Linked DNA regions of Sus scrofa. The protein of the gene in region 3 purifies or fractionates together with the protein of the main gene of each other region. This does not show direct contact. Links are inferred from orthologs where the notes say so. Each region holds a gene or a part of one and is shown on either strand. Other genes may lie near its edges.

Region 1 (4,142 bases), on a different chromosome or scaffold from region 3:
AAAACAACCATTAAAAAAATAACAGGTAGGGCGTTCCTGCTGTGGCACAGTAGGTTAATGATCAGGCTTGTCTCTGTGGAGGTGCTGATTTGATCCCTGGGCCAGCATGGTGGGTTAAGGATCTGGCGTTGGATCTGGTTCGGGTTCAGTTCCTGGCCTGGGAACTTCCATACACCAAAGGTGCAGCTGAAAAAGAAAAGAAAAAAGGAAGACAACCACAAAAACACCAGGTTGGGGGAATGACATACAGGAAAAAGGCCCAGGATTCTACAATCAATTTATATACTGTTAAAGATGAAAAATAGTCAACAACACAAATGTTTAGAAACAAACAGAATGGTATGTTTTAAAAGTGGGCAAATTTTTGGAAAGCGCATTTTCAAACCCAAGGAGAAAAAAATTTCAACTGCAGTTTTATTCCTCTACAAATTGATCTTTTTAAAAACGCAGTTATCTTAGAAACGACGGAACATAATCTGAAAGTGCACTTACGAGCCTGTGGATTCTGAAAAGCCACAGCTTTATCAATCCTTAGCTGAGACTGCAGGGCAGCTACCTCCCAGCGACGAAATTCTGGTGCTGCGGTGACATTGAGCAGGAACTCCATCAGGATCTCACTACAGAAGGCATGAAGATAAGAGTTACCGTCAAAAAATTTAAAACCAGCATCCACTCCTCAGAACTGCAATGCTCTCAATATTCCACTTCAGGCACCTTGTGAATACTAATCCAAAACCAACACAGGAGGCCACAATGCCCCATTAAAAAAAGACTAGAATTGAGCAGCTCGGTATTTCTTTAAAAAAACAAGAAACAAAAAAAACCTACAAGTACTTACATATCATCTCGCAGACATTCCACTGTGTAAGCCATGCTTTCCCTTGTGGAAGTCACACTAAGTCAAAAATAAATCACAGTGAATTACAGATCAATATTAGCTTTCCCTTATAGCTTTGTTAAATCAACCAACTCTTTTGGAAAAAAATTACTGTGAGGTAGAAACAAGTATAAATAATAGTATAACAAAGTATATACACTCAACTAAAATTGTAAAATATTTTTTAAAATCTTCAAAAAGGAAATGGCAGATATTTCAACTTTTAAAAGGAAGGAAATCTTGACAAGTTACACATAGATAAACCTTGAGACCTTTTTGCTAAACGAAATAAAGGAGTCATGAAAGGACAACAAATACTGTATGATTCCACTGATAGGAGGTGCCTAGAGCAGTCAAAATCACAGACACGGAACAGAGTGGTGGCTGCCCGGGGCTGGGGGAAAGAGAGAATGGGGGAGTCAGTGCTACAGTTTCAGCTGGGGAAGATGAAAACATTCTGGAGGGAGTTCCTGTCCTGGTGACTAGTATCTGAGGATGTAGCTTTGATCCCTGGCCTTGCTCAGTGGGTCAGCAATCCGGCATTGCTGTGAGCTGTGGTGTAGGCTGCAGATGCAGCTCGGATTTCCCCCTTGTGGCTGTGGTGTAGGCCGGCAGCTGGAGCTGTGATTTGACCCCTAGCCTGGGGACCTCCCTCTGCCATGGGTGCGGCCCTAAAAGGCAAAAAACAAAAACAACACATTCTGGAGATGGTGGTGGTGATGGTGCTTAATGCCACTTATCGCCATAGGACTATACACCTGAAGGTGGGAAATGACAACACTGGATCCTTACTTTGCTTAGAGAACTCTAGCGTGGTACATTTTTTTTTTTTTTTATATTTTAAAAATTGTGTAGTAGAGAATGGTTGATTTATGATGTTCTGTCAATTTCTGCTGTACAGCACAGTGACCCAGTCATACATATAAGGGGGAGCCGGAGGGAGTGGGATGGATTGGGAGTTTGGGGTTAGTGGATGCAGAGTGGTAAATTTAATGTTATGTGTATTTTACTACAACTTAAAAAAAAAAACTTTAAAGTTGAAGATCTCTTTGCACCCTTCCCAGGCTAACTCTCTCACTTCCTCCCACACTAGAGACAAGTATAATCATAAGCACGACATGTTATTATTTTGTTAAAAACCTTATACCTTTAAAAACTGTGAAGCTTACTTTCCCACAAAACATTTTGTTTTGAAGTCTGCTATGTGGATACAGATCGAGTTCTTCCTTAACTGCTGTGTAGCAGGCCCAGCATGTTACTGTATCACACTCTTTCTCTCTCTCTAAAGACAGGCATTTAAATTGCTTCCAGTCTCGATAACGATAAAGAATTCCTTTGTGCATATGGATGAAAAATTGTTAGCTTGTAAAATATGCTCATTTTCAATATGAACAGATATTACCTGGTTCTTTTCTAAGTAGCTGTATTAATTTATACTTCCACCAGAAGCATAAAATGCTTGTCATCACTGTTGATTACAAGTAAAGATCCTTGCTTCTGGCTTCCTCTTCTGGGAACAGCCTCTCCCTATCCATTTTCTCTTTGGTTGTTTTTTCCTCATTTGTAGTTCATTTTTGCAAATTAATTCTCTCCAGGTTACATATGTTGCAAATATCTACTCCCAGATAACGTAATTTTTACTTTAAGGCCTAAGGATATTTTACATTTTTTGCAGTCAAATTTATCAGTGTTCTCCTTCTTGTGCCTTAAGAAATTGTTAACCACCTCGGTAATAGAAAAGTTCCTTTACAACTGACTACCCTCTGGTGTTTTCACTATTTCTGATTACTCATCGTAACAAACCTTAATTTACCACCAACTGCTTCGATTCCACGGGTTATCTTGAAAGATGAAGCTCCTTTTGTAGTCTTGGAAAAGAAAGAACAATTTTTTTTAGTATTTTTTTAATGCTATGCTTGCCAAACATCACTCTACATCAAAATCTAGTGTTTGTCATTAAATTCAAAAAGAACATTACCTAAATAGGGAATCCTTTCTAGTTTAAGAATAATGAAACAAAGTTCCCCAAAAAGCACAAGTACAGATTTTTATATAAAGTATAGTTAGGTTAAAATTCCATTATCAAATACAAGCTTACTGGATTCATCATTCTATTCTGCAAGAGATCTGCATATGGGAAAGAATAATTTTCTTTCAATTTCTGGCATTTAATAATTCCTTTAAAAATTGATTTCTATTTTCTAGCACTAATATTCAGATGGACACTAATTTAATGCTTCTCTGTGGTAAAAAGTATCCTGTGGTTTTTTGGTACCTGTACTGAGTTGAATAATGTCCCTCCAAAAATCATGTTCATCCAGGACCTGCAAATGCGACCTGTTTTGGAAATAGTCTTTGCAGATGCAAATACTTGAAACAAGGTCATGGACCCTAAATCTAATATGACTGAAAAACTTAAATAAGAAGGATATTTGGACACAGAGGCCATGTGATAAGAGCAGAGATTGGAATGACGCAGGTGCAAGTGAAGGAATGCCAAGGATTGCTGGCAATCACCAGAAGCTAGAAAGAGACAAGGCAAGACTCTTTTTAGAGCTTTTAGAGGGAGCAGAGCTCTACTGACACCCTGCCTGACTCCCAGCGTCCAGACTGTGAGAAGATGAATTCCTTTTGTCTAAGCCACACTGTTTGCAGTAATTCGCTATGGCAGCTCTGGGAAACTAACATAGGGATGTTGCTTTGTTGTTCTTTTCTGTAGAACTAAGATACCACAGATTACTTTCTTTTTTGGGGCAGCACTCGAAGCATGCAGAAGTTCCCGGACCAGGGATCAAACCTGCCCCATAGCAGTGACCCTTAACCTGCTGAGCCACCAGGGAACTCTGTAGATTTCTAAACACACTGCAGTAGTAAAGATGCTTACCAAACTGGATGCAAGACGAAGCAGATGAGAGGTTCCTAAATTGTTGGAGTCCTCATATCTACTGCCTGCTTTAATGAACAAACCAATTCTTGATGCAGGAGCATAGTTTTCGAGAGATGCGATCACCAAACCATTTGGTAATCTGGTAAACTGTATTTAAAGATAAAGTAGGGATGTGATTAATGTCTTTATATTACCAAGGACAGTAAGGCACAGGTGGGCCAGTGAGCAACTCAGTGGGACTAACCTCAAGGTCCTGAGGCTGTAGAGGCACTCCTGCAGGGGCAGCGCTGGCCAAAGCTTTGGGGGCAACTTTGAGAGAATAAAATCTCTAAACACAAAAAAAGACAGGTTACCACATTTCTCAAAGAACAGTGCATT
Region 2 (2,917 bases), about 59 Mb from region 3:
GTGGAAACACCCTGCCCCCATCTGGATTAGGATTTGCGCATGCGTCCCTCCCGCACCCCACCTCCCCTCCAACACTGCCCTGCAGAGCCCAGGGGAGCCCACCCTTCACTTCCAGGTCTGTGCGGCCCGCGTGCTCTGGCAGGAAGATGCAGGAGTACTGGCCTGAGCGGTCGTCTGAGTCCACCCTGTAGCAGACATGGTATGAGAGAAGCAGCCTGTTGAAACCTCCACCGGACAGGCAGCCCCAGAGAACAGGGACCAGGGGTGTGCGGGGCAGCAGGCAGGATCACTCCACATCAGGGAGCCTGGCCCCACCACCCTCCAAGCTCATAGCAGTGTTCTAGGCTTCTGGAGCCACTCCTCGTCCCAAACTGGGTGTCACATTGGTCCCTGGAGTGCCCAGACCCCATCTCACAGGAAGGAGGGATGGGTTTGAGAGGTGATGAAGTCTTGCAGCCAGCTGCCCCTTGCTGGGTCCCAGACCTCAGCCCAAGCCTGTTTCTAATGTGTGCAAAGCCAGGCCACAACTACAACCTCCAGCCTGGCCAAGGCCTGGCGGCCAGGAGAGGTCAGAGCAGGCAGGGCCAGCAGCCCTGACCCCGCCCCATGATCAGGCCCCAGCCCCTTCCCTGCTGGGAGGGCCTCACTCACTCAAACTCTGTCCTCAGGTCAGGCAGCGCATCCTCCTTTAGCACCTTGCCCCCCTTCTCCCAGCGGTGGCCCGCGATCTCAGTGGCGCTGTGATTCAGGGCACAGGTGAGGCGTGTTTTGGAGCCAACATCATCTATCGAGGTCCAGATCCTGCTCCCTGGGCAGCCAAAGATAAGGTGAAAAGGGAAGAACCCAGGCCACTGGCTGCTTGTCCCCATGGCAAACCCGAGTGGTCCCAACCCCGACCGCACAGAGGGAGAAGCCAGGGCTGGTTCACAGAGCTGAGCACTGTGGGGCCCCTGGAAGGACCTCCCCTCGGGGTCAGAGGCAGGATTCTGGGAGGAATGGTCTCAACTGGCTGGGCCTAGGTGTGGGAACAGAAGCAGCGCCCACCCTGGTCTGGGTACAAGGACCAAGACAGTGACTGCAGGGTCCAGCGCCAGCAGACCCCAAATGCCCCTTTGGAAAGTCAGTCTACTGCTGCCCAGGTCACCATCCCCTCTGGGTGGCGTTGCATCTCCCCTCCCCTGATCAAGGCAGGCCGTCTGAGGTGGGTCAGGTGTGCTGTTTCCTCCTGCCTGTGAGGCTGGGGTGACCCCCAGAGCCTTGGAACAGCCGGCAGCCCTTCCACTGGTTTCTAAGCAGGTAAACCACCCCGTCCTCGAAAATGTTTTCTTTAGGAACCAAAACATAGAAAACACTTAGAACTAGACAGTAAGAGACATGGCTATGAGAGCTGAGAGACTGGGCTTGAGCTGGGAGGATTCCTCTGCAGGGAGGGCCCTGGGGCATGAGACCCCAGACCTCCATGTGTTTGGGATCAGGAGAGCAGATCAGAACAAGAACCCTTTTGCCGGGCAGGGCTGCAACCCCCATCAGTGGAGTAGCCACACTACAGCCCTGTCCCAGAGCAGACAACACTGTCCCTGGGGACGGTGGGGACTTTATAAAGGTGGGTCTGAGGCACAGCAGTGTTAGCGCAATTGTTAGCCTACCCAGAAGTGACCCTCTGGAAAGGCCACCCACCCTCACATATCTCAGAGGCATCCCCTGGAGAAGGTCATGGACACAGGACACGGGCTGAGAGCCAGCCCAGGAAGAAGCCTGTGGTGTAAAGTCAGGTGAAAGAGCAGAATACAAGCCTGTACTTGAACAACCCAGCCAAGTAAGAAGGCACTGAGGGGAAAGCAGCTACAGGGACACAGACGACAGGCCGGCAGCCAGGCAGCAGCTCTTAACACCCACTGGGCAAGCCACCCTCCCTAGGTCCTTGCTTCCTCCCTGGGGTTACATGGTGACTTCTGACAGTGTAACTATGCGAGCACAGAAAAAACACACGAAACTGGGTGGAATGATCAGAGGTCGTGACCCCCACTTGGACAGTCACCTTAGCCACCTGGCAGTCAGATCAGCGAACCTCAGTCCCGAGGAAAGATATCCCCACAGCAAGAGAAGAGGGTACCTGGCTGCAGAGGATACCAGGTTCACACTCACACATGAGCAGGGCTGGCCTGGGCTCCCTCCGTCCACAGGGACGCCTTAGCTGCTAGGAAAATGAAAGCCCGGATCCCAAGCCAGACTTTCCCATCAAGCCACTTTCTGGAACGGCTGCAGACAGAGTGCACTGTGTCCTCTTCAGGCATCTGAGATCCGGGCCTGGAGGACATGGGTCCTGCCCAGGCCTGCCTGTTAGGTTCTTGCTGGGCTGACCATGCTCCACTCTGTCCCACTATGGACTGGCCACAGGAGGGCCCTGGCTCCCCAGGTGCATTTCCAGCCTGCGGGACGCTGGCCTCTTGGTGTAGAGGTGGGACCCAAGGCCAGCCCATGGACAGGATGTGTGCATGGCCAGGCCTCAGTGCCCCACCTCTGGCTACCCACTGGGTCTTTCTTTAAGAGAAGACAGGATGTCTCAGAGGCCCAGGTCAGCAGGGACGGAAGCAAAAAACTAGATGGCAGTGCCAGGGGGAGAGCAAGGAGGCCCCTAGCGGTCCACACCTGTAGCTACTTGTGTATACACACATACACACACTCACAGGCACGTGTGCTCAGAGTTCCCAGGCTGTGTGGGTGAGCACAGCTACTGGCCACAAGGTCCTGGGGACAAGCCGACCTTCACATCTGCCCACCTGGGGCCACCAAAAGGCAACTCAAGCCTCAGGCCAAGCAGTTACAGCCAGATAGGGCATGAGGCTGGATGCTCACCTCTATACCACTTTCACCAAAGAAGGCCCCCTGGCAACCTGCACTTCTCCAGTCAAGATTT
Region 3 (4,142 bases):
GGGGAAGACAGCGGGGACAGAAGAGGAGGAGAGACAGAGTAAAGAAAAGACAAGAAAGGTTAAATGATTATATATGGGAGTTCCCGTCGTGGCGCAGTGGTTAACGAATCCGACTAGGAACCATGAGGGTTCGGGTTCAATGCCTGGCCTTGCTCAGTGGTGTAGGTCGCAGACGTGGCTCGGATCCCACGTTGCTGTGGCTGTGGCTCTGGCGTAGGCTGGTGGCTACAGCTCCGATTAAACCCCTAGCCTGGGAACCTCCATATGCCGCAGGAACGGCCCTAGCAAAGGCAAAAAGACAAAAAAATAAAAAATAAAAACTTGGTGGAAATAACTAATCAAGCATTATGCATACAATAGGAAAAAATAACCAAAAATGTAATGTATGTTAGCCTTGGCCTTTTTTGCTCCTACTTACTACTTCTCCTGGTCTGCAAATGTTTTATTCTCTGCACTTCTTTATAAACATTCAACGACAAAATTTTATATACACTCACAATGCGCTAGACAGTCATTTTATAAGCATTAACATAAAGCAGCAAACCAGCACCCCATTTTTTTAAGGCAAAGAGTTAATTCCACACACCATCAACACATACCTGGCTTTAGGGTCTGAGTGTATCCTAAGCCTATCAGGCTGGAGTTGTTCACTTTAGCCTAGTCAAAGAAAAGACAAGAGAGTGAAAACGTTGAGTACTTCATGTTTCTGTCTCCAAAATGACGAAGAACTTCTAAAGCAAGCAACTCTGGACTCCAGAATCTACTTCCCTTTTTTTCACAACCACTTTGTTTACAGGATTCATTAAATTCAAAATGAAATAATCAAATTCGGGAATTAAGTCTCAGAAGGGTAACTCAAAAAGTCAACACAATTTTCAGTTAAAAGAAGTTATTGGAGTTCCCGTCGTGGCTCAGTGGAAATGAATCTGACTAGCATCCGTGGGGACACAGGTTTGATCCCTGGCCTGGCTCAGTAGGTTAAGGATCCGGCATTACCGTGAGCTGTGGTGTAGGTTGCAGACAGCTCGGATCCTGCATTGCTGTGGCTGTGGTGTAGGCCAGCAGCACAGCTCCAATTCAACCCCTAGCCTGGGAACCTTCATATGCTGAAGCTACAGCCCTGAAAACATCAAAAGAAAAAAAAAAAAAAAAGTTATTTATTTCTGATTCCTTAAAGTATGTATGCCCAACTCCATTTATACTGAGTAGGTCTGTATTTAAGTTATAACAAGTATGGCACCTTCATTGATGACCAGAGAGATAAAAAACCTTTCTTGTATGGAAGATGTCTTCCAGATTCTATTTGTTGGAATAAGGAAAAACAGAGCAAGTATCAGACAGGGTTCTTTGGTTTGTTTGTTTTTTTTGTTTACTTTTGTTTTGTTTTTTGTTTTTTAGGGATGCAGCCGCAGCATATGGTCATTCTTATGGGTCAAATCTTAGCTGCAGCTGTCAGCCTACACTACAGCCACAGAAACATAGGATCCGAGCCACATCTGCAACCTACACCACAGCTCACAGCAATGCCAGATCCTCTACCCACCAAGCATGGCCAGGTGGGGATCGAACCCTCTTCCTCATGGATACTAGCTGGCTTCTTAACCCGCTGAGCCACAACAAGAACTGCCATGAGGCGTTTTTGGGGTTTTTTTTTTTCCTTTCTTTTTAGGGCCACATCCCACGACACATGGAGGTTCCCCAGCTAGGGGTCAAATCAAGAGCTGTAGCTGCTGGCCGACACCACAGCCACAGCCACAGCAACGCGGGATCTGAACCACATCTGCGACCTACACCACAGCTCACGGCAACGCCAGATCCTTCACCCACTGAGCGAGGCCAGGGATCGAACCATGTCCTCCTGATACACCGTGTCACATCTGTTTCTGCTGAGCCATGATGGAGCTCCCATGAAGCATTTTTTAAAACAGCAGAACATTGTTCAAATTTTCTCTTCATGGAAAAGAGAAGCAAACGTCATCCCGACATGAAAATTTAGCAGACAAGCCTCAACCGGCCGTTTATACTGGAACAAAAGCATGACCTTGCCCATCGCTTAAACCTTAGCATTCCGTGACTGCTGATGAACAATTAAGTTCAATAAAGCAGATGAGTCAATACGAATTTTGCCGTCGCTCTTCTGCCTGAGGTGTAGGGAGATCTGGACCCCTTTAAGGAGAAATAAGGAGAGGCCAGGGGCAGAGCAAGCCCAGCGCATGAGAACTCGGAGTCCTGGCGAAAGCTGGGGCTGCCAGGGTGCCCGTGTTCCTGCTCGCGTGCTGTTTTCAGACCCAGCATCTCCCACAGGCGACAACAGGAAGGAAGGCCTCTCGGCAGCCAGTGCCCCATCTCGTGGTCCCTTTTGTCCATGCCACCCAAACAACAAGGCCACTTTTCCTCTGTTTTTACGTACCTAACACAGTTCCTGTTTCAGGAGGCTGAAAATGCGCTGCCTGTAAAGATCACAAGCCGGCCCAGAAACCGGCCTGCAACATGAGATGTCCTCATTCCACCCCAAAAAGGGAGCAGCGGGCAATGCCCTGTGCCAGCAGAGATGAGCTCGACAGGATTTTATGCAAAAACTATGCAGCAACCCAAGGGACCACGAGCAACACTGCTGGGACTGATAAGATGCCAACTGCCCGATGCCGGGGCCTGATTTCTTAACATGCGGTACAGGAGTTGAGTCAGAGAATGAAAACTGAGGGGAAAATGAACACATTTAAAACCTGTGGGTTCAAGGGAACCGCTTTACAGTCTGCAGCATGGACCAGGGACCAGTTAAAAGGAGGCTCTACAACAGGGGGACCTGCGTCCAAAAGATCCCAGCACTTTGCAACGGCCGGCCCTTGGGCAAGTCACTCCCAGCTCTAAGCTTTTGGTTCCTCATTTGCGAAAACATAAATGGAATACTTTAAAAAAAAAAAAAAGCTGGGGAGTTCCCATCGTGGTGCATCGGAAATGAATCGATGAGGAGCCATGAGGTTGTGGGTTTGATCCCTGGCTTTGCTCAGTGGGTTAAGGATCCGGCATTGCCGTGAGCTGTGGTGTAGGTCACAGACGCGGCTTGGATCTGGCATGGCTGTGCTGTGGTATAGGCCGGCTGCTATAGCTCCGATTGGACCCCTAGCCTGGAAAACTCCATATGGCATGGGTGCAGCCCTAAAAAGACGGGGGGTGGGGGGGGGAGAAAAGCACCTATCTCAAACGGGGTGTGTAAGAAATAAACATAGTAATCCATGTACAACGGGCTCCCACAGTTAAGTCCCATCAGTATTATCGTTTTACTGATTGAGACCTCTTTCACAGCGAGAAAATCTCTAGCCAAAGCACGGCACTCCATCAATCCAAAAGGATGCCCACCTAAGCGGCAGGTGGCCTCAGCAATACACGGTTCTGCAGGTACCCACCGAGAAGCAGGCGTCAGGGTCGATCTGGTACTTGGCTGCTATTCCAAAGCGTGTGTTGCTGTTTCCTGCTGTCCAGGCAAGATTAACAGCGGTCTCCAACTTCTTGTTCACCTTCTGATAAATGGAGCCACCAAACTCCGTCCCATCATTTCTGCAAACAAGCACAGCACAAATGCCAAGTCACGTGAGAAGGCGGGCCGGGCTGGGCTGGGTGGAGCTGCCCAGGTTCAACAGAGGACCGGGATGCTGTCAAGGGGCTGAATTGATCACAAAACAGACACCAAATTAGGGACAGGGACGGCACAGACAGCAGGGTCGGGACGCCTCAGAGGAAGGTAAAGGCTATCTCAGCCATTACTGGGAACACCCAGAGGCAGCTCAGTCAACCACTCAGGCTGCATGGAACTTGAAGTCTGCATGGAACTTGAAGTCTGCTTCCAAAATAGTCATTATTTTATTACTATTATTTATTTATTTATTTTAGGGCTGAACCCACGGCATTCAGAAGTTCCCAGGCTAAGGGTCAAATTGGAGTTGTAGCTGCTGGCCTACGCCACAGCCACAGCCATGCAAGATCTCAGCCACACCTGCAACCTACACCACAGCGCACGGCAACGCCAGATCCTGAACCCACAGAGTCGGGCCAGGGATCGAACCTGCATCCTCATGGATACTAGTCGGGTTCGTTACCACTGAGCCACGATGGGAACTCCCCCAAAATATTCTTTAAAATAA
Region 4 (4,142 bases), on a different chromosome or scaffold from region 3:
GCAGTCAGGAAGTGGCTTGATTCTCGATGTCCTCGGAATAATTAATTGCATTAAGTTTACAGATGACGGGCAGAGCAAGAAAAGCCAGATAAACTCTCTTTCCCCTCTTTTTTGAGCAAACAGCACTGACCAGCATCAAGACCCAGGGTCAAAGTCCGAGTCAGAAGCAACCCAGCAGGACTTTGTTGGCCACAGCGCCTCTAGTACTTACTGTTTTCAAAACAATAGGGGGCAAATAAAAAAGGAGGAGGGCTGCTCCAGAAACGCTTGCAAGGTTAATAAGCAACAGCGGGCATGTAATCGTCTGCTGGACTTGTCTGCACCCGTTAGCAGGCAATCTACCTACCCAGCACGCGTTCCCCGAGGCCACCCAGCTCCAGGTAGGCGTTCTGAAAGGCGTCCTTCAGCTCCTCGTCCAGGGGCTGCTCCTTGCCGTGGATGAGGATGGAGCTGCAGCGGTCCAGGATCCTTTCTGGAGCACCTTTCATCACCAGCAGGTGCCGGGGCTCAGCCGTGTTGGGGTTCTTGTGGATGGACAGCTGGGAAGGACAGTGGAGGTGTAAATGCTGGATGGCCGGGCGTGGTGGCCCCAGGAGGCAGCTGCACTCCCTTAACTATTTAGGGCCTGTTTTGAAAAAATACCCAGGATCCCCTCCCCCGATGAAACACGCTTTGAATGCTACGCAGGAACCTCGCACGGTGAGGTGCTCATATATCCCTGACATACGTTCAGATCCAGAATTTTCCAGAAGAAAATTCAGAATGAAGGGATGGCACACACGTGTGCACCTGCGGCCCTACCAAGCCCCCTCCCCCCAACACCATGCTCACTCCGACCCCCACCTGAGAATGCAGAAGGGCCCCGACTACATTTTAAAGGAGGCTTCATTTATCCCACTGATATTCAAACAAACCAGAACGTTCTTTCTACCTGCAGTCAAGGTAAGACATAAAGCTAAAGCATTTCTGAAAAGCGTGCGTAATTCATTTTAAGAAAGCAGTTGCGCGTGTACAATTCCCAAGGGGAAGACGGTTCTCCCAGCTCCATCTTCGGACCTGGTACTTGTTGGTGGAGTTGAAGGGAATCTCGACGATCTTGGTGTATCGCTCCCTCATCTCCTTCACGGACCCGCAGCACAGCTCGATGCACTTTAAGAGCGCGGACTCGGAGGCGTCGCCCGCCACTGCCCGCTGCAAAAGAGACCCTCTGTTAGTCCCCCTGCCAACAGGAAAAAGGAGGGGGAGCTCGGGCGAGGAGGCGCACAGCTGCCGGGAGTGACCGGAAGCATCTCGGCCCTTCGGAAGCAAACTGCAACCTCCTCCTCCTTGCCAGCGGGACTCCCCCCCCGCCCCAACTTGGTGCCTGAAGGTGTCACCTCCCCGTGGGAGAAGGCCAACACCCCTCCCCACCTCCTTCAGTCTCTCGTTTTAAAAAAATTTTATTGAAGTATAGTTGATTTATGCGGTTGTGATAATTTCTGCATCATACGCACATCCATTCTCTTTCAGATTCTTTTGCCATGGAGATTGTCAGAGAACACCTGGTACAGTTCTCTGTGCTATCCAGCAGGTCCTCGTTGGCCAATCCGGCCTCTTTTTTTTTTGTTTTGTTTTGTTTTTTACTTTTCCCAGGCCTGCGGGGAAGTCTCTGAGCCAACACTATTCCCAATCACCTATTTGGGGTTAGGAATCTAAAAGTGGAGAGTGAGTCAATACGGCACGCTTCTTCGCCCTGCAGTTTAAAAGAAGATGCCTTGGGTTCTCAGGACCACAGGCAAACTGTCTGTGTCAAGGGCAAAGCCGAGGACTTGACATTCCCAACATAATTCAATTGTGCAGAATTATCTGGGGCTGAAGGGTGCGGACTGAAAGCTATGATGAGCTCCAATGGTCATGTAATCAGCCTAACGTTTTAGCGAATGCCCCCACTTCAGGTAACACATAGTTCGTGTGATGTACTGTGACACACTTACATGGTGACATAGACTGAAAACATTTCCAGCTATCGCCAACTTATACAGAGAGAAACATTTTTGAACTCTGGCATGCCGGGCCGTACATGTAGATGAGCAAATTAATGCCCACTTACAAATGCAGCAGCCTTGTTTAATAAATGTGGCCAGGTTTGGTGAGAAGCATAAAAGAAGTGGGATCATTTTAGTAAAAGGCCACAGTTATTGAAGCAGAATAGGCCTGCATGGTTTTTTTTTTTTTTTTTAATAATGCCATTAAAATAACATGGACCCAGAGTTCCCTAGTGGACTCAGCATTGTCACTGGCCTGAGAACTTCCATATGCCTTGGGCATGGACAAAGGGAAAAAAAAATATATATATATATATATATATATCCCCCCAAAACTCAAAAAACAAACAAACACCCCATGGCCCCAAGCCCCTGAAATAATTAGAAATATATCACATGCTACCTTTCTGGAGCTTTTTTTTTAATTATTATTTTTTGCTTTTTAAGGCCCACCTGCAGCATATGGAAGTTCCAGGCTAGCGGTCAAATCGGAGCTACAGCTGCTGGCCTACACCACGGTTACAGCCAGGCAGGATCCAAGCTGCATCAGTGACCTACACCACAGCTCATGGAAATGCTGGATCCTTAACCCACTGAGTGGAGGCCAGGGATTGAACCCTCATCCTCATGGATAATAGCTGGCTGGGTTCATTAACTGCTGAGCCATGGACGGAACTCCCTCTGGAGCTTTTAAATGAGGCAAGGTTTGATACTTGTGAGTCTCTGTGCTCATAGGCTAGAAAATTTCCACTTTGAGGTAAGGAAAAACATGAAATGAGCATCTCAAGTTTTATCCCAAGATAAACAATATCCTCCTTAAATCAACGTCAATTCAATGCCAAGAGATCTCCTTTACGGAATCAAGGAACCCCATGTTCAAGCCACCCCAGTTCCACCAGAACTATATTCGCTGACCGCTTGGCTTCTACCCAGAACCACCACAGGGGGCGTTGGTGAGAGTGAGCCCACCCAGAGGGCCCCACACAACTCTTTCTCACCCTCAAGGACCCTGTGCAGCTCGTGACCTTTCTGGGTCTTCGACTTTTACTAAGCAACACAGTAAAATCTCAGTCATTTCAAATTTCATGTGAATTCCATGAGGCTGAGTTTATTTTTGCATCATTAGTAGGCAAGCTAAGAACAAGATAAGAGAAATAGCTGAGCTATTTTAAGAAAATAAATGGCTTACGAGATTTACTGGAATCTACCGTATCCTAATATGCAAATGCGATTATTGAGTCACACAAGCAAGGAGCCCTCACTGTCCACTAGGTTAGGGGATTATCAGATAAATTCAAGAGCAGTCAAACTGGATTTTGGGACTTAGGTTTTTTCCACCAGTAAAGACTGCCTCCCCCCTCCCCCAAACCTCCTCTGGTCATTTTTTTTTTTTTTTTTTTGGTCTTTTTAGGGTTGTACCCCCTGCACATGGAAGTTCCCAGGCTAGGGGTCGAATCAGAGCTGCATCTGCCACCCTACACCACAGCCGCAACAACACCAGATCCGAGCCACGTCTGTGACCTACACCACAGCTCACGGCAACACTGGATCCTTAACCCACTGAGAGAGGCCAGGGATTGAACCTGCGCCCTCATGGACACTAGTCGGATTTGTTACCGCTGAGCTACAATGGAAACTCCTCTGGTCAGTTTTTAACTATATATTCCCCCCTTTATGGACCTATTTGGACCACAGGTACTGTAAATCCTTTGGGATCTACAGGCAACACAACTCATTACACACAGCAAAGCATCCCATGGACTGTTCCAAGTGTCCTATGGTGAAGTTACTTTAAAGCCCCCCAAGGTCATGTGCCACTTAAAACACACACACATATAGGTGGTGGTTCTTGTGTGGCACCTGCATCCCCTAGAGGCAACCTAAGAGAACCCCCGAGCATACCTTCAGGATAGGTAGGTTTTCCTGGTTGGCCTGGAACACTGCCCTGTTACAAAGACCTGCAATTCTGGACAGAGCAAGCCAGGTGGCCGAAGTCTTGTCGAATGAGACACCTGATAGAGAGGCAAGAGAGGAAAATAATGCGCCAGCTTTGTAAAAGTCCCAGAAAAACATGCTGTGACACGTCCTCTTTCCTAGTCAGTGAAACTCGTCAGGTTT

The links.
Region 1: the proteins of VDAC1 (region 3) and cytochrome b-c1 complex subunit 2, mitochondrial fractionate together in Homo sapiens (co-fractionation; 3 studies listed by BioGRID, with this or other methods). This does not show direct contact. The link is inferred for Sus scrofa from reciprocal best matches to the Homo sapiens genes VDAC1 and UQCRC2.
Region 2: the proteins of VDAC1 (region 3) and BSG purify together in Homo sapiens (affinity purification with mass spectrometry; 3 studies listed by BioGRID, with this or other methods). This does not show direct contact. The link is inferred for Sus scrofa from reciprocal best matches to the Homo sapiens genes VDAC1 and BSG.
Region 4: the proteins of VDAC1 (region 3) and ATP1A1 fractionate together in Homo sapiens (co-fractionation; 3 studies listed by BioGRID, with this or other methods). This does not show direct contact. The link is inferred for Sus scrofa from reciprocal best matches to the Homo sapiens genes VDAC1 and ATP1A1.

Annotation. Positions count from the first base shown.
Region 1 is NC_010445.4:24,221,968-24,226,109, forward strand, and holds part of cytochrome b-c1 complex subunit 2, mitochondrial, read right to left. Parts: intron 4,093-4,142; coding exon 4,009-4,092; intron 3,912-4,008; coding exon 3,762-3,911; intron 2,746-3,761; coding exon 2,681-2,745; intron 896-2,680; coding exon 839-895; intron 618-838; coding exon 493-617; intron 1-492. UniProt on the Homo sapiens protein: Component of the ubiquinol-cytochrome c oxidoreductase, a multisubunit transmembrane complex that is part of the mitochondrial electron transport chain which drives oxidative phosphorylation.
Region 2 is NC_010444.4:77,737,696-77,740,612, forward strand, and holds part of BSG (basigin precursor), read right to left. Parts: intron 809-2,917; coding exon 652-808; intron 186-651; coding exon 103-185; intron 1-102.
Region 3 is NC_010444.4:136,303,148-136,307,289, forward strand, and holds part of VDAC1 (voltage-dependent anion-selective channel protein 1), read right to left. Parts: intron 3,559-4,142; coding exon 3,408-3,558; intron 658-3,407; coding exon 600-657; intron 1-599. UniProt on the Homo sapiens protein: Non-selective voltage-gated ion channel that mediates the transport of anions and cations through the mitochondrion outer membrane and plasma membrane.
Region 4 is NC_010446.5:104,362,653-104,366,794, forward strand, and holds part of ATP1A1 (sodium/potassium-transporting ATPase subunit alpha-1), read right to left. Parts: intron 4,037-4,142; coding exon 3,927-4,036; intron 1,192-3,926; coding exon 1,057-1,191; intron 540-1,056; coding exon 347-539; intron 1-346. UniProt on the Homo sapiens protein: This is the catalytic component of the active enzyme, which catalyzes the hydrolysis of ATP coupled with the exchange of sodium and potassium ions across the plasma membrane.